Linked DNA regions of Arabidopsis thaliana. The protein of the gene in region 2 binds, or shares a complex with, the protein of the main gene of each other region. Each region holds a gene or a part of one and is shown on either strand. Other genes may lie near its edges. The genes, in order: THO5, THO1, THO2 and TEX1.

Region 1 (6,066 bases), about 14 Mb from region 2:
CTATAAAATTATATTATAGGCTCAATAATTGCTGCTAAATTTTTTCACTATTGATTCATTTGCAATATACAAAAATAACTCCTATAATAAATCAAAAAAATTCAGTGTTGATTCATTTGCAACAAAACACGAAAAATTTCACTGTCTTTTGTGGTTGGCTTTGTTCTTCCTGGGACATGGGAGTGAATTTAGCAAATCGTGGTTCCTCTTAGGTCTTCGTTCATGCCTTTGATTTTGCTTTGTCTTTTTGATATGTAAAAATTTACGTTTGACAGTTTTCCTGTAATTTAGGGATTCGCTTCCTTCTTTTGGATTAAGTTTTTGGGATGTATTTATTTTCCGCCCGCTCTTGTAATTCAAACTTGCATATTTCCTTGGTAATTGTACTTAAATAAGATGACAAAAAAACTAAAAGTTAAAGTAAATCAAACTATATAATCACTTGAAAGTTATAAACTAATATCCAATTTGATTTGGTTTTGTTTTCTTCACTACCTCCAATTGCAGGAACAACATTTGTCAATGATTGCAGTAGCAACCTGTAATAACGGTTGTCTACGAGTTGATTCCTTTTTTTTTCTCCAAAACCTGTGACGAGCCCTTTTTCACTTTTCTAGTTTCCAAGCTACCCGCTAGGCTTTAATGCTTAAATCGAGACCAAAACAGAGCAGGCTAAAACGGATTGGACTTGAAACATTGCCAGGTTTAAAACAGACCAGGTCCTCACCCAACAAGTAGGCTGTTTCAATAACGGTTTATACGATAAAAAAATGTTACATGCAAAAACTTTTGCTTGTACCACCAGAGAAAGATAATATAGAGAAGTGAGTGGCGATGTAATCTCTAGCATGGATAACCCGATGCACATCCTCTGCCCTTCCATGAGATCATTTTCCGGTGATCTCTGCCTCTGAATGATCTCACAAGAAGCTTACCGTCAACAGGCTTGCACAAACCGACATCAACCACAGTTGTGGCTGTTCCTCTTTTGGAATCTGGAGATGGGTCATCCACGTAATAGTCGAACAACATTGCTAAGCATCTGATTTGATGAGATAGGAGATAGTTTTCTTGATCTGAAGGAATAATCTTCAACATATGAAGGTTCACCTGATACCGCCACGAAAAGGTTACAAAGGCGTTATCTTTGGTGTCATCGAGTAAAGATTAGTATATGTTACTGGGTTTGACACTTACTTCTGCTTCCATTGCTCGAAGTTCATTGTAATGGTCACTTTCATTTGTCCCATTTTCATTTCCTGATGAAGAAGATGCGTGGAGAGACAGAGAAAACAAAGGAGGTCGAAGAGGATACTCCATGCTAATTTGTACCTGCCAATACAACTCGATTTAACACTTAAGAAAGAAAAAGATATAGGGAAGATACCGTATTAGAAGATAGTGTTTTAGAAGTTACCATTGCTTCTAACTTCCACAACTTTCCGCCATCTGTTTTCCTGGAGAACACAAGCGCAAACTCTCTCGAACCATAATCCACCCATGAATTATCAGCTTTCTCAGGGCATAACTCTTCCACATGCGCCTCAGTTCTTCCGGTTGGCTCATCTATTTCACTATCATCGTCCAGAACAAGATCCAAATCATCTTCGTATTTCTTGAAACTTGGGGACTTTCCTTTGCTAATCGGAGAATCTAGATTCTTTGTCATCAAGGCCAACTGCCTTGACCGTGCTTGATTAGATACTTTCGATGGGGTATGATTGGAACTGGTTAACGAAGCAGCCGCCGTGACCAAAGAGGGAAGTTCTCCATCTTCCCGTATACTTTCAAAATCTTCTTTTCCAGAAATAGATCTTCCATCTACATCGATTTCCATAGGTTCTGGAACTTGTTCCACACTGTTCAGAGTCAGAGAGCATGACTTACTAGCTGAAGATTGTATATGTAACCAGGAATCCAAAGCACAGAGAACCTTATGCAGTGCCCAAGGAGCATCTTCGCAGTTCACCACTGGTAACTCATGTTTCATAAGCAAATCAAGCTGTTCCCTGTAGCCAGTAGAAGTTTCCAAAGTATTCAGCAAAAATAAACATATCAACAGAAATAATTACCTATAGAAGCTCTTATCACGAAGTTGACAATGCTACAGAGGGATTAAATTGACCGCCAAGTTATTGACAAACCCAAACTATTAAATGTACAAACCATATGCTGATTATCATGGTGGTCTACTAATTTTCTGGAATTCTTTGCATCGTGTTCTTTAATTAAGACGGAAAACATACAGAGTGGTGAACTCACGCAAGAGCCAGATGCGCTTTTTTCCGCAAGCGTATTCTTCGCAGAACTGTTTGCACTCTATGCTGCTGGCGATACAATGAAAGATCAGGCACAAACGTATCACTTTTAGCTGGGTCAGTGTTATGAGCTTCTTGGCCTAATAAAACCGGTGAAATATCAATTCCCGCCAAATGTTGTACCCATTTATAAGGCCTTGAAGTTCTGTTCTCATCAAACGTCTGACCATCACCAAGGATGAGCTTGGTTGACTGCATGGAAAACCGGCCATATAAAGAGAATTGAGTATGCATTTTTAAAAGTAAAGCCATCAAAAGTCACATGTAGAAGAAAACTGAAACACAGAAACAAAAAGTTACCTGATGAGGAGGCTCAAGTCCAGCGTCATCTGGAAACAAGTTACAAAATATGTTTTTTTCTGGTCCATCCTGAGAGCCTTCAGCGCCAACACATACAACATTCAACTTCAGCAAGTACTCAAACTTGAGAATGACAAGTTTCAAGGATTTTGTATCTGGTATCTCATCATCATATATGTGAAGGACAATTTTGAGAGGGTGGACTTGATATAATCCTGCCTTGTCAGAACCTTCTTTGCTAGTAAGTTTCTTGGGTCGTTTTCTTCTCCTTTGTCCATCATCATCGTCATCAGGTCCATCATCCTCCAACCTAGAACTCTCTGTATTACTCGACATACCTGAAAAACCAATACCAAATTAGCATTCTTTTCGTTTTAGTATTAGAAAACACAGTAAATTTTCAAAACAACTTACCTGAGTCCTTTCTGGATTGTTGTCTAGCATAAGCTTGAGCATCCTTAAGACTCCCAACTACCTCCAATTCAATACTCTCCTCAAAAGCTTCCTTTTGTGCCAAGAGCTGTGAGTATAGAACATAAAGCGGAGGAGGAAGCAGCTCAGCTAAATTATGCTGCTTCAGTTTCTTTGTGTGCTGTATACCCAAGTGGTTCTGTACTGGAAGCGATGCTTTCTTCAGAGACTTAAGGTGTAGAGGAAGACTCGACAAAAACTTCTTACGCTCCGCAATGGTTTCTAATAAACTCTTCTTCTGTTGCTCCAATCTCGCTCGATGCTTACACAATTCTTTCCTCTGAATCAAAAAACATAAAAAGGTAATGAAACATTATATCACGTTGAATGAATTTCAGAGATGGTGATGATTAACCAACCTGATGAAGCTCAAAATTGAGTCTCTTAGGCATCAAAACATGAGAACTATCACTTGAAAGCGATTGATCTTTGATAGCTTCAGGAGCATGACGAAAGAAGTCTTGTTCAGGAACAAGGTCAATATCAGGATACTTAGATTTGAAATCTCTACAAGCCTTGATAGCTTTAACGTAATGGCTCTTCTCATACATAAGATTATGCAATTGCAATGTCGTGAAATCAACAGGTGCCTTTGCTCTTTCCGTCTCCGCTTTCACTTTATCTTCCTCAGTCAAAATCGCCCGATTCGCCTGCGAAAAAAACCCTAATAAGTATCGTATAGCGAAAGAGGTGGAGGGAGAAGATTGGTAAGTACCTGACGAAGATTGACGAAGTTGAGGAACATTTGAGTGAGGAGTTCTCGAATCTCAGATTTGTGGTTTCCTTGTTTTTTCATGGAGAGCATCTTCGCGACGATTTCTTCTACGGAGGTTTTGCTCTCTCGAAGTAGCTCGAGTGGAGATTTTCCTGGCTCTCGGGGAGGTTGTATAGTCTCTATGGTAGTTACTTCCGGCGTCGGGAATTCGTCGGCAGTTACCATTCCTTCCTCTATTTCGCCGTCCTCCATTCTCGATTTCTCCAGTCAGGCTCGCTCCGGTACTTCTGACAGGATTTATGATTTTTCTCTTCTTCTTTTTTTTTGTTCTTTGTTTTTTTGTCAAACTATTTATGATTTTTATGTAAACTATATTTTGTTACAAATATTATATCTACTCCATGATGGGATGATAATTGCGTAAAAGAGATTATGTAACATTTTTTTTCAGAAAATTCTGTATAAAGACAAGAAAAAATTTGGTTTGATATCAAAAATATTATGTAAAAAACACCAAAAAGGAAACTACTTGATAATTTTGGTGAAGGAAGAGAGAGACATATCAGATATGTCGTGGTAGAACAGAGGTTTGATCAATCAAATAGCCTTCTATGGTACGGAAATTTTATTGAGTTGTAGCTAAGCCTTATAACTAGATTTACCACTTTGCGGATTTGGATTTGAGTTAATATTCTAAAAGTTATCTGTGTTTTCGTAAAGTCCTCTGTTTCAGACGTGATTTAGACCAGAGTGTATTAAACAAATTATCTCGAGTGCACCTGCGGTCAGATCATCACTAAACTTTGAGGTTAGCTTCAGGACATCTTGAGGGTTGAGTTTCAACGGTGGAGATTTGAATTGGACGGTTAGATTGCGATTCGTGACTCAATATTTGAGACCAATTGTTTGGGTTATTTTCAGATTTTTTCCAATTTAGGTTAAAGGTTGGTTTGCTGTTGTAGTTGGATGTATGGTGAGTTGAGATATTGTTGGTGAGTAGGAAGTTACTGCTCGTTGTGGGATTGTTGTTTTTGGTTTCAAAATCATTCTTGTTTCGAGGTGGGTATGTGACCATGAGATTATCTAAGCAATTGAGATTGTGTGATTTATTTGTTGTATGTATAGGCAGTATTTTTGGTACCATTATTCAATCCCCCGAGATGGTTGTGTCAATGGATGATTGTTCATTGGTTTGATTTATTTCATGATTTATTTGTTGATTGTTATATTGGTTTGCTTGTGTGTATAACTCGCAGGTAAGAGAATCGTTTCACTAAGTATTTATTGAAATATTTATGCATTTCTTTTCTTGATGCAGATAAAGATAAAGTGAGACGTAGAATCATTGCGAGAAAGAAAGGATGATCTAAGGCCAAAATAAGAAAATAACACCTACATCACCGAAACGAGACCCTAGAAAAGCTAAACACATCAACTTTTCAAAAGAATTTATGACTTCGTCAAAATTTAATCAAGATGCGAGTCAGGTAAGTCACCTAAAAGAGTAACATTGATGTACTCATTAGGGAAGTGAGCAGGTAATCCAGGAATCAACAATGCAACAACCCTAAAACACCTTAAGAACCATCCTTCTCTGAACTCTCCACCTTTCCAATAAGGCATGACGAAACTACGTATCAACTCCCACAGTGCATTCATTATCTTTGGTAAAACCCATACGAGATTAAAGTAGTTTTTGTTTGGTTCCTCTTCCTCTACCTGAACATAATACAAATTAAACAACAACAATGTAGATAGATATCATCAGTAGGGTAAGTGCGTAAGCGACATTAGACGGATGAGTGATTAAAGCAAAGAAACAAGATTGTCATATATATGCAACCAACCTTTCCTTTATAGAAACTGTCATAGTAAAGGCATGCCCCAAAGTGTTTAAACATGAGTGTTTTGTCGTCGAAAGGCAACCTAGGAACCATGTCGTTGCAATAAACATATCTTTCATACTTCACGTCAAACTTCTTTAGTGAATCTTTCATGAAATTTCCAAACTCCTCGTCGCCTACGCGTGGCTGTCCAAATGTGTAAACTCCTTCTAGTCTCTCTAGCATTTGCTCCTCATCATGCATCACCAAAACAGCCGTGAATAGGATCGCTAAAGCCCCACCTAGGCTATGTCCGGTCAATATAAATTTAGATGTCGGGTTTTGGTCGAGGATTTCTTTTAAGTGACGCCTAACAGTGTAGTATGCATATAGAGTTGTTGCGTTTTGGGTTTCGTCAAGGTTTACTTCTTTAGGCCAT
Region 2 (6,940 bases):
CAACACAAATCACTCGGTTGTCTCTTGGTCGATTCTTTATCGCATCGCTGTGCCAACATTGTTTAGTCTTTTTTTTGTTTCAATATGAGTCGACACTTTTTTTGTCATAACAGTGCGACGACTATAAGACAACTGTGATCTTATGTGACAGTGCATCAACAATTCAATAGTGAATTTGGGTAAATTTATAAGGTGATTTGATATGCATTGACAAGTGATAACGACTAAACAAAGTATATACATTTTCAATGATTGGAGGTAGTAATAATATAACCAAATAAGCCTACAATGAACTGGTATAGTTTCACGTATTATTGGATTTGGCATATGATGAAACCTTATTATTATATGGAGATCGGTGGTGTTTATGGACTTTAAAAATCGTGACACGACTTAAAAACCACTCATTTATATTCTAAATAAATATTGATGGCAAAACATAAAGTTTATGTTGATAGCTATAATAGTAACACTTTTAGCTTTTGGTTCCTCAAGTATTTGATTTTTTTGTTTGTTTGAGTGTATTTTTAGTGGATTGCAATTGAATCCAATGTTTATTAGCTGCGAATATGTGTCTAGTGTTACACTTAGACGATAAATTACGCAAAAGAACTTAATTGTATGATGATTTTGTTGAGTATATAGAAATGGAAAGACAGGTAATAAGCTAGCAGATTTGCACTCATACAAACATATTTAGAAAATACCTTTTAACATAATTTGTTAAACATCAATACTTTTGAACTTCATATCCAAAGGATTCCCCATTGAAGAAAGGGTCGACAAACTGAAAGCGTATTCATGAGACGGGCATAGGAGGATGATCAAGATCAGTGTCCATCAGACCAGCTTCTTCTGTCTCTCCGTCTTCGATTTGACCGGCCTCTTGACCGTTTTCTGTATCAGAACCACCGAGTCTTTGCTGTTCCTCAGGCGTAGGAGTGTCTGCAATAGCATCACTCTCCATCGTCTCTGCATCACCCCTTCCTCCTTCAGCTTCAGCTTCACTATTAGAAACACCAATCTGGTTTCCCTCTGTTTCATGAGATCCACCTTTGGTTTCTTCTTTCTTCGCTCGTTTGGCTTTTTCGTTTGGTTTAGCTTGGTATTTGGACCGGACCTCAGGCGGCAATAGTTCAACTGGGACAACTCCTTCGATTCCCATTTCAGTAAACTGTGAAAAAGAAAGAAAAAGGTTTTAAAAAGCAATCATATGAAGCATTGGGAAATCGAAATCGAAGAAAATTTTACCCTAGAAAATCCTTCAAGGTCTTGCCGAGCTGTAAACCGAAGACCTTTCCAGCAGTAAACCTATCAAAACAGTAACAATTATCTGCCTTAGACTGATTCAATTAAGCATCATAAAAAAAAAAGTTGTAAATCAGAGGAAAGTTATATACTCTGTTGTTTTTATGATGGTACTCATCTTCTATGCCAGCTGATGGATCCATCTGAGATTTTAACAAAACATCAGGTGTGCTAATAAGACATCAACCATTTTTTTTAAGATGTCCTTTGGGAAAAATAAAGAAAACAGTATGTTAGCTCACATCTTCTGCTAATGGTTTCCAGTAGTCTGCAATATCAGGGGTTCGCACGCGTTGAGAATCAGTCAAAGCATTCTGTTATCCCATCAGATATACAATTATTGTAGAGTCGTAATATGAAGATTGAGCCGAGAGGAGAGCTGGAGAAGCATGTGGCATAATATGAACAACGAACAAGGATGCAAAGAAAAATAATGCATACCGGATTTTGATCTGCCCATCTCCAAAGTTGGGAGAGTTCTTTATTTCCCAATCTCCATCTTTGTCTCCTGTAAAAGCAAAAGATAACCCATATTGAGCCTAATACTCGTAATGCAGATTTATTAGTTGTTTCTCACTTTAATGGACTAGCGACCAGAGATCACTAGGGAAAAAACATCTTCTCAATTTCTTCCACGTAATGTATTCTAAATTCGAATGGCGGACACCATCTATGAGTACAAAGCAGTTAGATTACAAGGTCAGCTTTTCCCCATACCGTTTCTTTTGCCCTGCATTAGGTGATTTCTTATCTATCGGTTGCTTTTCAAATGGTGGACATCCATCACGTTTCCACCAGACCTGTTATTTGTGTATTGTAGAAGATCATTAACGGCCCTCAACTACAAGCCAGAAAATCATGCAGCAGGTAAGAGAGAAAGCAGCACACATACCCAATTCTTTTCGCGCTCCAGTATATGCTCAACTGCACGGAGGAATTCTTTCCCTTTAGGCGGAGTGATCTCAAGCAATTTCTTTACACGATCCTCACATGACTTAAGTTCTTCCTTCTAGACCGAAAAGATAAACAATACCTTTGAGTAATTATGCATAAAACCCTGAATACTGAGATATAACTAGGTTTGTGAACCTTTGAAAGAAAGCAAGAGGAATTTTCTCATTAAACAAGAAAAAACACTGACCATGGTTTCAGATGGCAGATCTTTGTCGTTCTTCCCTGGTGCCTAAACGGAAACAGGATTCAGTTATACCAGAATACCAGAGAGAGTAATTTCCGTGCAATAATTCTTGAGAGACATTTACCCTTAGATAATCAAACATAATGAGGCACTGGAGAAGAATATGTCGTCGGAAACTCGAATCCTTTAACTGTGGCGAAAGGTAGAAAAAAAAGTGAGTGAACTGCTAAGTTCAGAAGTGCGCATGTCCAACCACAGCATACTTACCTCTAAACCCATCAATTTACTACTTGTTAGGTACTTTATATTAAAAGTTGCTGCCTCTTCCTCCAAACTATTAGCCTCTCCCTCTTCTTCGCTTAGTGGTTGAGCATCAAAGGTGTTTAAAACAACCTACATAAGCAGTTCAAGAAACAAGGTCTAAGATGATTTCTCACTACCGCCAGCATGAATTTTCTATGCATATACATATATACAAGACCAGGTAATGCAATTTAGTCAAAAACCAAAGATCACATACCGCCAAACTGGATGAAAATTTCTGCCACTTGGTAGATGCGGAAGTAAGAGAAGCGGGATTACAGAAATACTCCTGGAAACGAAACAATTTTCTCAGTAAGAAAAGAACTATCTCAATAAACTAACTAACAAAAGGAAATTTGAGATGCTATCTCCAGTAATGTTGATTTTGCATGATATGCAAACAGAGGTTCTATGAGACAACCCTTATGATAAAGGCATAACATTCGTTCCCTACAAAGTTCCTTTAACTAATACGCACCTGTAAACTCCAAAATGTCTTGTAGAAGTTGAAATCTACAGAAATGCCTGAGAAGCAATGACATAGACAGAATAAGTAACACGTTTTAGAATTGTCATATGGAGATAAGGACCAAAAGCATAAGAAAAAAAAAAATCACTTGCCTTTTGGAGGATCTTTTTCATATTTGGTTTCATTAGATGTATTAAAAACACCTTTTATATTGACGGCTGAAAGAATAAGTCACGCAAGTAAACGTTACACACCTTTTAAACATTCACATACCAAATAATCGTATATGCACGAGAAACCCTTCTTACCTGAGCGCTCAGATAACGGAAAAAAGTGAGCCAAAAACATAAGAATCCTTCCACAGAATACAACATCATTGGCCTGTATGCCAAATAGTGAAAGCAAAAAAAAGAATTAAAAAAGAGTGGATGTGTTATATATGAAAAAGTAGATTATGACTTATGGATATTTGACAAAGGGAACTAGAAAAGGGTGCAGATAGCGAACCTTTGAGAGTCGGCGGAGAAGTTGGTTGCAAGTCCTCAACATGACAAGTTTTCCGCGTGCAAAAAGCTCTTGCTGCAAATAATTGCAACATCCAAGTCAAAATACAAGATACAACTAACCGAGAAAAAATTTGATTTCGTTTAAGAAATACCTTGCCCAATATATCTTGTTTGCTTTCAATATAACCGAAAACATCTTTACAGTTTTTCATAGTAGACATTTCGGTCAAATCCTCCAGCAGCTGGAATATCATGCCACCTTCTACATGCTCTTTCTCACAAAGATAAAGCACAACATCTAACAAAGCAATCAAAACATGAAGATGGTGAGAGGTTAGACAAAAGTAGTGAGGACAAGATGATAAGCAATAGACAACAAGAGAATAAGAAGTTTTACGGGGACAACGCTAGCACTTGTTTGAACGAACTATGCAAATCAGACTAGAGAGATTGCTAACCTAGAAGATGAGGAATCTGTCCATGTATATCATCATCATCATCATCATCGTCAATCAACTGACCATACTGCATAATTTGCTCCCCTGATTGCGCAGCAGCAGCCTGAAACCCCGAAAACAGAAAGAGAAATCCACACATATATAAATGAACAAGTATATACGCATACCACGAAAATATAATAGTGGAGAAAGAAGAGACCACTAGCTCCTGCAGCAATGTCCGGAGCATGTTTTCAAGCATTTGGTTTTCATCTTGAGCCAACTTTGTTTGTTTCTGTCAAATTTTACAATAAAGACAATAAGTAAGACTAAAGGAGTGAAGAAATTGTTAGTTGATTCGAAAGAGTTACCTGAGGTTGTATAAAGTGTTGAACAGTCTTGAGTGCAAAGGTTTCAATTGGAGCTCGCTGCAATATAGCATCTCTAAATGCATCCTGCGAAGAACCACAAATTGCAGAAAACAAGTTTTTATAAGCTATATAGATTTAACAAGAAGCAAAAGAAAACAAGTCTCATAATCCCAAAAGAGTTACCATTATTTCTCAATGAACCAGCTTCCACTGCAATGAAGAGGAATTTACCGACGACACCAAAACCGGATATGCCGGTCAAAATTCACGGACTATGAGTCGCCGGATTTTAAAAGTTGATTAAGAAGAATTGAATAAAAATCTGGAAACGGAGGCCAAACTTGAAGAAGAGTGGAGGAAGAACAATTTTAATTTAGGGTGGATCCGGATCCGGAAGATATCCTCCCAACAATCAAATTATCCGCAAATATCCGGGCTTGGATCTGGATCCGAAATATTTTTAATTTATAAACTGAATAACAACATGTTCATTGGGCCTTTCATAGTAAAATGATATCCGTTGGGTGGTGGGCTTCACATTATTTAGTTTTACAGAAGACCTTTGCCTGTATATGTTGGATATGGCGTAGTTTTAATGTGTGGAATCAAATCAATTAGAAATTTAAAACATCTGTATTCAAAAATTGCTCGAAATTGTTCATGGTATGTTATTGCAGAAGAAATCATAATAGCTCACATGAGAAGGATTTGAAGATTTCAAAAATTGCTCGAAATTGTTCGAGATAAATATTAGGTTCCAATAATTGCATAAAAGACATTGTATTCATAATCTACACTCAACAAGTGATAAATAAACATTACTTCCTAACAAAGTAAACTTTGATGGATCGAACACCTCCTTCAACACCTAAAAACTCGGATGTGATCTTCTCTTTGGGGGTTTTGATTGTACCGTCGACGTAAATTCACTAAACGATTAGTGAGTGGCAGTGGCTCATGAGATGAAAGTCATGAAACAAACACTTTGAGACCAAATGAAAATATTGATTTGACATATTGGGTCCACTTGCTATAGGGCCAAAAATTTAGAGGCCCAATAACCAAAAAAGTCGAAACATGTAAAATGTTTCTCGTCACTTGAAGAAAAACTAAAAAAAGTAAACGCCATTATTGAAAGAAAAACACTCACATCTCTCTCTCTCTCTCTCTAGAGCTGTTCATCTCCCCAACCACAACAAACCAACTTGCTTAGCTTTGCTCTGTCCAGGGCAAAGAGCATCATCCCTCAATAAAGCAATTCCCATTTTCTTCTTTTACTTTTGTCCTAAAACTGTTAATTGATTCTGTCTGAATATTATTTTTATTAACGGACCAAACAAAAAAAAACTTGCAGAAGAATGAAAGAAAAAGCAATAACCCTCCAAACCAAATTCTAAAGCCTCAAATTTGGAATATTCCCTTTCTTCTTCATTCCCTTTTTTTTTTTTAATTTGCCATTTACTCATTATTGATCTTATGTGAGACGACCTCCTCTGTTTCTTTCTTCCTCGTAACAGTAAAGGGTCTTCCTTTTTAATCTGAATTTACCAATCTGATTCTTCTGTTTTTTGTTTTTTTTATTTGTCTATCTTTTAAACTATTTGAAATCTAAACTTTGTTTGGTTCTTCACGATTTTTAATCTCCGATGAATCAAATTCATCAAAAGATTCATCTTTTAGATCTGGTTACGTAATTCGATTTGCTCTGTTTTTTGTTTTTCGTTTTGAATTCTTTATTAAGTAACCAAATTTGGGGAAGAAGGAGGAGTGTGGGTGATAATGGATTTGGATGATTTCCGATCGGTTATGGATAACGCAGGTGTTGATGTTTGGACATTTATCGATACGGCGATTCTTGTTGCGTCTCTTGACTATGGTCAAGAACTGAAACGTCGGAGAGATAACATCGTCGAGCGTCTCTACGCTACGTCGATGGCTAACAAGTGTAGAAACTGCGATTTTGGCGGCGGTGGTAACGTTACGGAGGCGGCGATTGGTAGGGTTAATAATGGGAGGGTTCACGAGGAGACGGAGGAGGAAGATGAAGAAGGAGTAACAGCAGCAGCAGAAGAAGAAGTTAGAGAGAAATCTGTTAATGTTGAAGACGATGACGATTTCGATCCCTTTGCTGGTTTGTTTGATGATGAGCAGAAGAGTATTGTTGAAATCAAGGAGAAACTTGAAGATCCTGATCTGGTTTGCTTAAAAGTTTTTTTCACTTGGATCTTGATTTGATGATTTCAGCTTGAAGACGGAAACTTGTTTTGTTTGTGGTTTCAGTCTGAAGAATCTTTGGTTGAGTTGCTTCAGAATCTGGAAGATATGGATATAACATTCCAAGCTCTTCAGGTAATGTAACTTGATTCTAATTCAGTAAGGACACTCTTCTATTGTTTTGATAGTTTTTT
Region 3 (4,753 bases), on a different chromosome or scaffold from region 2:
TCGGGTGACACTGTTGGGCTAAAACAGACACGGTTTTGTCTCTTGCACTTAACATAATTATACTGTTTGATTTCTAATCAGATTTAATACAAAAAAATTAAAAAAGACGACACACTGTCTGTTTGTCTGGATCGGAAAAGTAGTTTGTATTCGTTTTCCATATAATGGATACATATTTGATTTGCTATAAATTATAACCCTAGGTTATGAAGATTTTTTTTTTTTTTTAGGTTACGAAGAATGTTGACGTAAATTGTAAAGACAACAAAAATAGTATTTTCATCAACATTACTTAGTTTTATTCCATGCATGATGGAACTTTGGTTGAGGATTTCTATTTCTCACAAGGTAAATTCCATCATTTCTAGCAATCTAACGACGTAGAGCATCACATCGATCAATGTTGGCTGCTCTATATGCTACAAAATCTTTATAATATCGCATGTATAAGCCGTGTTTCAAAAGACAAGTCCATCTTGTCCTTCTTCCAAACATGTCTCCGAAACGGATTTGTTTTAGTTCCTTGAATTGTAAATTTGCGACGTCTAAATTGTCGTCTTTTGAATGACGATGATACTAGAGAACCAAACCGGGACCAAGATCATTCATAATTTCAATTGTGTTACGTTTACAAGACAAAACTGATACAAGCAATCCAAAATACGTCGCAACAACTAACATAAAAATTATAAAACGATTCATTTTTCGGGTAATATGAAACTCCAATTTGAATTTAATGACACCAAAGTACAGTATCTATAGTTATTTCGTGTGGTTAGTATTTGACGATTTTCCTATGGCCTTAATAAATTAGTTAAACTGAAACACAAACATGTAGTTAATAATAGATAATGTCGGAAAGTCTGGTTGACTAATAAAAAAAAACAAATGAATTCAACATTACAAATTATAAGTGATCCAAAAAACCTAACAAAAACCAAAATGTTTAATATATAACAAAAATTCTTCTAAGCATATTCTTTAATTCTAGACGAGGCAATTTGGAAGCACTGATTTGAACATAACAAAATAACAGCAGCCCTCGCGCCAATACAGGCACATTAAGTTTAACTATAAATGACTTTTAGCGGATTAGATTTTAACATAATGAGTTTATAAACAGGCCAGACCTAAAACAAATAGCTTTCGAATAACGTTGGTCAAACCGACCCGTTTTCTTTTGTTGTTGTTTCTTGAGCAAAGGAGGACGAGGAGGAGAAGAAGGAGAAGATGACTGTAAGTTGGATCAACTTTTCAATTGCTTATGGATCTTTTCTGACTTTCTTTGATCGTTTTTTTGTCCCGAGTAGTTAACGATTCTGGTTGAAAACGGGAATGGAGCGAAGAACGCTGAGAAATTTTTTAGGTTTTGGTTTCCATATTTTAGTTAATTTGGTATGTTACTAGCTAGTACTTGTACTCGTTGCTTTCTATTTGTTTATATCTGTTAGGACCAAAAGATGTAATTAACATTTTTAATTCGATATTTGCCTAATTGCCTTGTTAGTAGTATCGTGGTGGACTCAAAGATCATCTGAGCCCATGGGCTTGTTCAATAACAACCAATTCATAGTTTCACGCCCATTCAAAACAAAATCATACGACTTAACCGGACCCGGTTTTGTATTGAAATTGTATACAACATAATTTGCTGAAACAAAAGACGACAGAAAAACAAAATCGGTAAGTAGTAGAAAAAGGAAAAGAATAGTCCCCTCTTCTGCAAAATCAAAAACATATTTGCATCATCTTCACACCGTCATCATCATCGTCTTCAATTTACTTCCACCAAATCAAATAATCTCTCAAAAACCCTAATTTCTCTTTTTCTTCTCTGATCAAAATTGTTCGTTCCTCTCCCTTTTCATCTTATCGGAATGCTTATTTTCTGGTCGCCAATCGAAGTCTAAACCCTATTTTCTTAATCTTCTAGGGTTTCGAAAAGGGAGGAGAGTGAAAGATATACATACATACACACGAAAGGGGTTTAAGATGTCTCTTCCGCTACTGGAGTGTAAGTACGTGACGGAGGAGTTTGTTCGTGAAGGTAAGAATGGCAACTATGGAACCAAGCTGCCCAGCTCTGTGCCGATGCTTCGTTTCCTCTACGAGCTCTCTTGGATTTTGGTATACACACAAACACCACCTTCTCTTCCTACTACTATCCAATCACGCGTATATGTTGTTCGAGTTCCTCAACGGTGCCTCGTGATGGATTATTAGGTTCGTGGCGAATTGCCAATTCAGAGCTGTAAGGCAGTGTTGGAAGGTGTGGAGTTTTTGGATAAGCCATCGAGAGAAGAATTAGCTTCGTGTTTTGCGGATGTTGTGACTCAGATAGCTCAAGACGTAAGTCCAATTACAGTTTTGACATCCTTAGCTCAGAGATGATTGTGCAAGGTTATTGATACTGATCGTTGGATTGATTGGGTTCGTGTTCTCTTTGCTTTGTTTTGCAGCTTACCATGTCGGGAGATCAACGTTCTCGTCTAATCAAATTGGTGAGTGCTAGAATTTATTTTACGTTTTGAAAATTGATCATTGTTTGGATTTGTTAGTCTTGAGGAAAGATAATTCTAGCTCTTTAGATATTAGTGATCACAAAAAGTAACATCCTATGAATAGATTAGGCATGTGGTGTATAGCTATCAGTAGTGTCCTAAGGTTCAACCAACCGATGGCTCATCCTGGGCAGGTTGCAAGAAAGTTCCTGATTGTAAAAGGCTACTTCATCCTAAGGAGCTGAAACTTTGACCATAGTGCCTTAGATGATCTATTAGCGTAGTTTGGTATTGAATTTTCCTTGTATGCTTGATCCAATGTTCTCTGATGAGCTGCTTACAGAGGAGTTGTTAGCATATGTCTTATTTTATTGAATTTGATGATTGCGTACTTTAGTTTCTTCCTTAAAATATTCTTTCTGTTCTCATTTACCATCTCCTCAAGGTTTCTATGCTCACAGCTAATGAACCAATTGTTCTTTTTTGGTAGGCGAAATGGCTTGTGGAATCACAGACAGTCCCTCAAAGGCTTTTCCAAGAGCGTTGCGAGGTAAACATTATGTTACGTTCAGCCAATGAAACAGAGTAATACGTAGAGAATCTTTATATTAATAGAACTTAAAACAAGAAAATACAGCTTTGAGAGGTTTCTTAATAGAGTCCCCTCTTATCCCCCCTTCCACCTTTCACTAGTTCTCGATAACTCCCTCACTGGTACCCCTCATCTATATAGCATGTGCATCATGCAATCCTACTGCCCATCATAGAAACCGTAGCTTGAACAAGTCTGGAGTGATAGATAGAGACTGCTAAATAATAGTTATTGTAGCTGCTAAGGTAGTTATAGAAGTTAACTTCAAGGCTGTAGCCTGTTTCGAATGTCACATTAATCCCTTAAGACTGAAGAATTGTCCTCAAAGATCCAGTGGACCAGCTGGTCTCACGGAATAGCCCTCTTCTTCTTGCTGTAGATGTAAAGGATAGGAGCGGGCAAGTCCTAAAATGTTTGTTATTATTCCCAATTTGAGTAGTTTGTACCCCACCCACTTAACCTCTCTATTTTCTTGATCAGTAAGAAGAAAATTTTCTGAAGGCGTTTTATTTATTTTATTTTAGGAGGAGTTTCTCTGGGAAGCTGATATGGTTAAAATAAAGGCCCAAGATTTGAAGGGGAAAGAGGTGAGGACTTCACACTTCTGTAACTGCTGTATTAATATGACTTCACACTTTAGTCATCAATGCAGCTGCACTGTGCTCTGATTTACGTAATAGTTACTCTGAGTGAATTGCTATTGCGAAAGATTAATGCTTATAAGAATTTCTACTTTACCTGTGTAACTACTGCTCATTGTTTATAAGTAACAATTCTGGTTGATGCTTCTCAGGTGCGATTAAACACTCGTCTTCTGTACCAGCAGACAAAGTTCAACTTACTCCGTGAAGAAAGCGAGGGATATGCCAAATTGGTTCGTTATAGAAGATCTCTAGCAGTCTAGTTTTTTTTTTTTTTTTTTTTTTTATCTATTGTCATTCTTTCTGTCCACTTCGTTTCTATTGTCTTTTCTTAGATACTCTTTACTTCTGTTTTTTCTGAAACACAACTTTAAGGAATACCCCTTTAGTTTTTGGAAGGGATGATCTTTTCAACAATGCTGATTTGGCCTTTCCTTTTCACACGGTTCCAGTTGGAAGGCATATCTTCTGCTAGTTTTATTACCTATAACTGTGCAGAGTAATGAACATATTATCTCAGTAGAGATTCGATTAAGTCAGATTATACATACACCAACTTATAGCAGTTCCTTTTTGTGGAGTGCAGGCCACTCTTTTGTGCCGAGGATCTGCAAGTTCTTCGCACAATGCATCAGCAGCAACGATGGGAATTATCAAGGTTTTGATTCGGCCAATACATTATATTTCGCCCATTTACTTTTTCTGAACTTTATATTTTCTTGCAGTCATTAATTGGGCATTTTGACCTGGATCCAAACCGTGTTTTCGACATTGTAAGTTTTCACTGTTGCTTCTGTCATATTTTTGTTTGATATTGCATAACGCATCAATCTGTCCTTCCCGATTAGTAATAATGTACCCTTTGTTTTTGATGAATAGGTTTTAGATTGCTTTGAACTCGAACAAGATTACGACACATTTCTCAATCTAATTCCTATCTTTCCCAAGGTTTGGAATGTCTTCCTCGTATTTTTATCTTCTAATGCTTAGCTCAAGAGACTATTTTTTGCTAAAAAAAA
Region 4 (4,722 bases), about 20 Mb from region 2:
CTAGGGTGGTCAAGCCCACTCTGACTTAAAACTGTAGCATTCTCCAACAGTGTGGTTACACGCAAAATTTCTGTTCCAAAAATGTCAATTTGCAAGAGTAAGACGCACCAGTTAGAATTAGTCAACAAATCAGTCACCAAGACACCAATGAATGGAGAGACAGCATAGTTAATTGAGTTAGCTTAAAATATATTTTTGCTCTCACTCTAGTTAAATACACTCTGGTTAAATAGAATGAAGTCAGTATAAGAAATATAGAATTAGTCATTTCGTGATCTACTTCTAATAGCTAACAATTAGGTCTCTCTTAGCAGTACTGTTTAAGAGTTTATCAACTGTATTATAGCTTCATGAATCTGAAGCAAAGAATGAAGTATTATGTGAGATGAAAATACAAATAATAAACAACAAAAACAGTAATGCTCACCTTGGTTTAGTAGCCGAAATGCATGTGGAAGCACAGGCAGGAATGGAGTAAGCTTATGACGCTCTGCAAGTAACTCTGAAAGATACCTGCCAAAACAGAAATTGTGCAGAGTATCCAAATTAGTAAAAAAGCCTCAAAGACACATCAAACTTACAAACAGATACACTCAAATTCACTCTAAATCGATACAACCAGATTCAAATTTCCATTCTTTTGTGAAGTGGATCTAGTCAATCTTCCAAAAATCGTATTTTTTTTAACAGTTTCATCAGCCAAGAACAGAAATCAACAATAACAGAAACGAACACAACCAATGAAATGATCCTCACACACTAAAGACTTATGCTTTACAAAAAATGAACTGGATTGAGACAAATCTGAAATAGACTGAGCTAGTTCCGAAACATAGATCCTAATATAATCAAAAGAAAACAAAAAAGACAAAAATCCAGATTCGAGATACACTATTAAGATCTAAAAATCAAAATCAGCAAAGCAAAGATCAACATACTTCATCAGATACATCAGCTAATTATAAAAGATCACCAAACAATAAAAAACAAAAATATAAAAGAAGATGAAAAACTAAGATTCGATTACTTCTCTTGCTCAACGAAGACAGAAGACTGTGATCGGAGACCACCGGAGTAATTAGGAGACTGAGGAGCAGAAGGAGGCACCGAAAGAGACGACGAATACGTCATAAACCTCCCTCCGCCGCCACCACCAATACCACCACCACTTCCTCCTCCTCCACCACCACCACCACCAAGCGACGACATCATCATCATCTCGAAGACAACAGAATCAGAGTAAATCTGTCGGAGATTAGAAGAAGAAGAAGAAGCGGCGGAGGCAGAACCAAAGCTGTTGTTGTCTCTCTATAACGTCGGTGGATTTAAGAGGTCATTTTATAGAGACTGTGAAATGATTACTTGTTGTTTGCTTAGCTGTTTTTTTTTTCACCTTTTTTCTTTGTTTCATATTTTACCCAATTTTACCGCTCTTCTTGTTAGTTTCTCTCTGAAGACTCTTAACCATCTAGAAGGTTTTTTACATCCGGTTTACTAAAATTCGATTCGGTTTATCTATACCGGAATGACTAAACGCTGCGTTTCAGGAAGCGAAGCTCTGATATTCAGTAGGCCGCGAAGGAAGGTTGAAGAAGAAGAGTTGAGAATTAAAAAATGGAGGAGACGACGATTCCTTTCAAGAGCTTACATAGCAGAGAATATCAAGGTCATAAGAAGAAGGTTTTTTTTTTCTATCTCCAGTCTAATTTTCTGTACTCAATAAAACTTGCGAAACCCTAGTTTTTTGCTGAATCTGGGGGAATTTTTGGATTGAAGGTACATTCAGTAGCTTGGAATTCGAATGGAACAAAGCTTGCTTCGGGTTCTGTTGATCAAACGGCTCGCATTTGGAATATCGAACCACACGGTCATGTAATTTCTTTACCTTTTTGAGCTATGGGAACTTCTATGTGTTTTTGATGATGATGAATACATATGGAGAAGTATTGTAGATTGAGTTAAAACTCGATTATTATCTTTGTCATTGTTACTTTTTGAGTTATGTAGTTTTTGTAATTTGGTTGTTTGTGTGGTGTGTGGATACAGAGCAAGGCTAAGGACCTTGAGCTAAAGGGTCATACTGATAGTGTGGATCAGCTATGTTGGGATCCCAAACATTCAGATCTTGTTGCTACTGCCTCTGGTGATAAAAGCGTTCGTCTTTGGGATGCTCGCAGTAAGTTATATTCTTTTAATCGTTTAGTTTTGCTCCTGAAATATGCCTGGAGCTTGGTTTAGAAATCTGTATATTTTCTAATGGATTAGCTATGTGTCATTCACAAATATTTCTCGCAATCTTGGCCTTTGCTTTTGAGTCATATCGCGGAGACTATTGATTGATGAGGATCGGATCTAAGTTTCTTAGAATTATAAATTAGTTATTTAGCCAGATTCCATAAGAGAGGAATTTGATCAGGTTTTTGATATGTGGCTACTATTGTATGTTTTACTATCAATTGCTGAGATATGTCTTCTTCGAGTTCTACAGGTGGAAAATGCACACAGCAGGTAGAACTTAGTGGAGAGAATATAAACATCACCTACAAACCTGACGGGACACATGTAGCTGTTGGTAATAGGGTATTGTCTCGAGCCCCATATCTTTACACTTTCATTGTTCTTACTGTCTATGGATTACTTGATAGATCCCTTTTCATAGTCGTTGTCCTTTCTCTTACTGGCCAATGTAGGATGATGAGCTTACAATTCTGGATGTCCGTAAGTTTAAACCTCTACACAGGCGCAAATTCAATTATGAGGTAACGTAAGCTCAGACTCATGTTAATCTTTATTAATGGCTTTTTTTTTATAAGGCTCTTCCGTATCTCCTGTTTCAAGCTCATGCGGTTATATGTCACCTAAGTTCCTTGTTCATGTAATAATCGTCAAGTAATTTTCTGGTGCCGTATGGAATGTTCTCTTATCTTTTGTCTTCTTGTAACAGGTTAATGAGATTGCTTGGAACATGCCTGGAGATTTTTTCTTCTTGACTACTGGACTTGGTGAGGATTTTAAATTCTGTACTTTCCTGCACACGATTCCCTACCAAAGATTTCTTTGTTTTTGAACTTGAGAAAATGATCTTACTGAAAGTTACTTTGTATGTTGTCCTGCTCAGGCACTGTTGAAGTTCTTTCATATCCATCTCTTAAACCACTTGACACTCTCACAGCCCACACAGCCGGGTGTTATTGTATTGCAATTGATCCTAAAGGGAGGTAATATATATTTACATTTGTGGGCTGGCCTCTGAGACACGAATGATAATCTTTTTGCTTTTGCATCTAATTCTTCCTCTTTACCTTAACAGATATTTTGCTGTCGGGAGTGCGGATTCCTTAGTAAGCCTTTGGGATATCTCAGACATGCTTTGTTTGAGAACATTTACCAAACTTGAGTGAGTATCAACATGAATTTTCCATAGAGTAGAAAAAGGTTTAATTTCTGTTACATGTTAGTAATTTATAACTATTTCTCACAGGTGGCCAGTCAGAACAATAAGCTTCAACTATTCGGGAGAGTATATTGCTTCAGCCAGTGAAGATTTATTCATTGATATTGTAAGTGATTGCCCAGACTTAAACACTGCTAATTTCAATGTAGTTTCCTCAATATGAGATTAGTTCCTCGTATCTGACCACTAACTACCAAACAGGCTAATGTCCAAACCGGGCGGACGGTGCATCAGATTCCATGTCGGGCAGCCATGAACAGTGTTGAGTGGAATCCCAAATACAATTTACTTGCATATGCAGGTGATGACAAGAATCCCAAGTATAATACTGATGAAGGTACTACCGCGTATTAGTACTTCATTGTTAGCAACAACTCAAAACTCTAATATTGGTAGCAGAAAATGAACAATGACAACAACTTGGATCTCTTTGCAGGTGTTTTCCGGATATTTGGTTTTGAGAGCTCGTAGGAACAGAGCACTGAATCGGGAAACATGATACACAACTCCACTTGATTGTTCCTTGTTGAGTTAGAAAAAGTTTATGTGCCTAGTGTACCTAAATATGTATTGTCAGTATATCAAGTTGGAATAATCTTACAGTATCACTAAATACATTGAAAGTTTGCAGTTCTGAATCTGGCATTTTATTTATTGCAAAAATTTGTTACTATACAAGCAATGTTGTTTATTATTAACGAAGAATGAAATTAATAAGATCAAGATCAGAATTCTAATCCCGAATTACATCAATTTTCTACTATGTGTGAGTACTGCTAAAAGTTACAGGTTGTTCTTATTCCCTCCGGCGAATCTTCAGTCTGGGAGATTTGACAGCTACTCTCTCAAAGCTAGAACAGAGGCCAATGGTAAGATCGGACCAAAAGCATCATCCCCACAATGAAGGTTGAAGAAAGAATGCAGAGTCCTGAGAAAGAAAACACATTTATTACTGAGAGTCCAATTTTGGATTAAAGAACAAGAAGAGCACACGATTTGCTTACCGAACAAACAGTGAATAGGAAGAGTTTGTCAAAATCCGCAGAGGATGAACTTTGAGACCGGGAAGAACAACCCTGCAGAGCAAAGAAGAACAATAGTTATCAAATACTGAGAGAACCAAGTAACAGGTTTCCACTTGATCTCAACGCTTGAACTCTTCATCCTCTTCCCACTCATCGGCTCTTTCGACAAATCAAAGCTCGACCCTTTCATCCTCAACTCCAAAACACACCGTGTAAGCGTTCTATTATCATTCCTCTCCCTAT

Evidence for each region.
Region 1: THO1 (region 2) and THO5 share a complex: the UniProt entries of both Arabidopsis thaliana proteins name them as parts of the THO complex.
Region 3: THO1 (region 2) and THO2 share a complex: the UniProt entries of both Arabidopsis thaliana proteins name them as parts of the THO complex.
Region 4: THO1 (region 2) and TEX1 share a complex: the UniProt entries of both Arabidopsis thaliana proteins name them as parts of the THO complex.

Annotation. Positions count from the first base shown.
Region 1 is NC_003076.8:17,205,467-17,211,532, forward strand, and holds THO5 (THO complex, subunit 5), read right to left. Parts: upstream 4,185-6,066; 5' UTR 4,057-4,184; coding exon 3,805-4,056; exon of another isoform or gene 3,740-3,804; coding exon 3,449-3,739; intron 3,370-3,448; coding exon 3,033-3,369; intron 2,957-3,032; coding exon 2,619-2,956; intron 2,511-2,618; coding exon 2,263-2,510; intron 2,010-2,262; coding exon 1,418-2,009; intron 1,333-1,417; coding exon 1,198-1,332; intron 1,111-1,197; coding exon 844-1,110; 3' UTR 505-843; downstream 1-504. Other genes in the region: AT5G42930 (alpha/beta-Hydrolases superfamily protein), read right to left, coding at 5,272-5,523, 5,652-6,066. UniProt on the Arabidopsis thaliana protein: Acts as a component of the THO subcomplex of the TREX complex which is thought to couple mRNA transcription, processing and nuclear export.
Region 2 is NC_003076.8:3,064,593-3,071,532, reverse strand, and holds THO1 (nuclear matrix protein-like protein), read right to left. Parts: upstream 4,956-6,940; 5' UTR 4,719-4,955; coding exon 4,716-4,718; intron 4,617-4,715; coding exon 4,533-4,616; intron 4,457-4,532; coding exon 4,382-4,456; intron 4,286-4,381; coding exon 4,183-4,285; intron 4,023-4,182; coding exon 3,877-4,022; intron 3,798-3,876; coding exon 3,726-3,797; intron 3,600-3,725; coding exon 3,527-3,599; intron 3,437-3,526; coding exon 3,371-3,436; intron 3,275-3,370; coding exon 3,228-3,274; intron 3,039-3,227; coding exon 2,967-3,038; intron 2,840-2,966; coding exon 2,714-2,839; intron 2,637-2,713; coding exon 2,571-2,636; intron 2,492-2,570; coding exon 2,450-2,491; intron 2,318-2,449; coding exon 2,201-2,317; intron 2,109-2,200; coding exon 2,026-2,108; intron 1,817-2,025; coding exon 1,750-1,816; intron 1,623-1,749; coding exon 1,551-1,622; intron 1,452-1,550; coding exon 1,401-1,451; intron 1,312-1,400; coding exon 1,252-1,311; intron 1,175-1,251; and 3 more. Other genes in the region: AT5G09850 (Transcription elongation factor (TFIIS) family protein), read left to right, coding at 6,312-6,728, 6,813-6,881. UniProt on the Arabidopsis thaliana protein: Acts as a component of the THO subcomplex of the TREX complex which is thought to couple mRNA transcription, processing and nuclear export. Contributes to the integrity of the endogenous trans-acting small interfering RNA (ta-siRNA) pathway.
Region 3 is NC_003070.9:8,740,218-8,744,970, forward strand, and holds the start of THO2 (THO2), read left to right. Parts: upstream 1-1,722; 5' UTR 1,723-1,846; exon of another isoform or gene 1,847-1,933; 5' UTR 1,934-1,992; coding exon 1,993-2,127; exon of another isoform or gene 2,128-2,223; coding exon 2,224-2,349; intron 2,350-2,459; coding exon 2,460-2,501; intron 2,502-2,991; coding exon 2,992-3,051; intron 3,052-3,617; coding exon 3,618-3,680; intron 3,681-3,886; coding exon 3,887-3,967; intron 3,968-4,020; exon of another isoform or gene 4,021-4,233; intron 4,234-4,320; coding exon 4,321-4,392; intron 4,393-4,459; coding exon 4,460-4,507; intron 4,508-4,613; coding exon 4,614-4,682; intron 4,683-4,753. UniProt on the Arabidopsis thaliana protein: Acts as a component of the THO subcomplex of the TREX complex which is thought to couple mRNA transcription, processing and nuclear export.
Region 4 is NC_003076.8:22,721,958-22,726,679, reverse strand, and holds TEX1 (Transducin/WD40 repeat-like superfamily protein), read left to right. Parts: upstream 1-1,580; 5' UTR 1,581-1,614; coding exon 1,615-1,680; intron 1,681-1,776; coding exon 1,777-1,872; intron 1,873-2,046; coding exon 2,047-2,176; intron 2,177-2,488; coding exon 2,489-2,580; intron 2,581-2,690; coding exon 2,691-2,759; intron 2,760-2,944; coding exon 2,945-3,002; intron 3,003-3,118; coding exon 3,119-3,218; intron 3,219-3,310; coding exon 3,311-3,397; intron 3,398-3,481; coding exon 3,482-3,560; intron 3,561-3,655; coding exon 3,656-3,791; intron 3,792-3,890; coding exon 3,891-3,925; 3' UTR 3,926-4,198; downstream 4,199-4,722. Other genes in the region: AT5G56140 (RNA-binding KH domain-containing protein), read right to left, coding at 1-70, 428-513, 1,028-1,218; AT5G56120 (RNA polymerase II elongation factor), read right to left, coding at 4,487-4,722. UniProt on the Arabidopsis thaliana protein: Acts as a component of the THO subcomplex of the TREX complex which is thought to couple mRNA transcription, processing and nuclear export. Contributes to the integrity of the endogenous trans-acting small interfering RNA (ta-siRNA) pathway.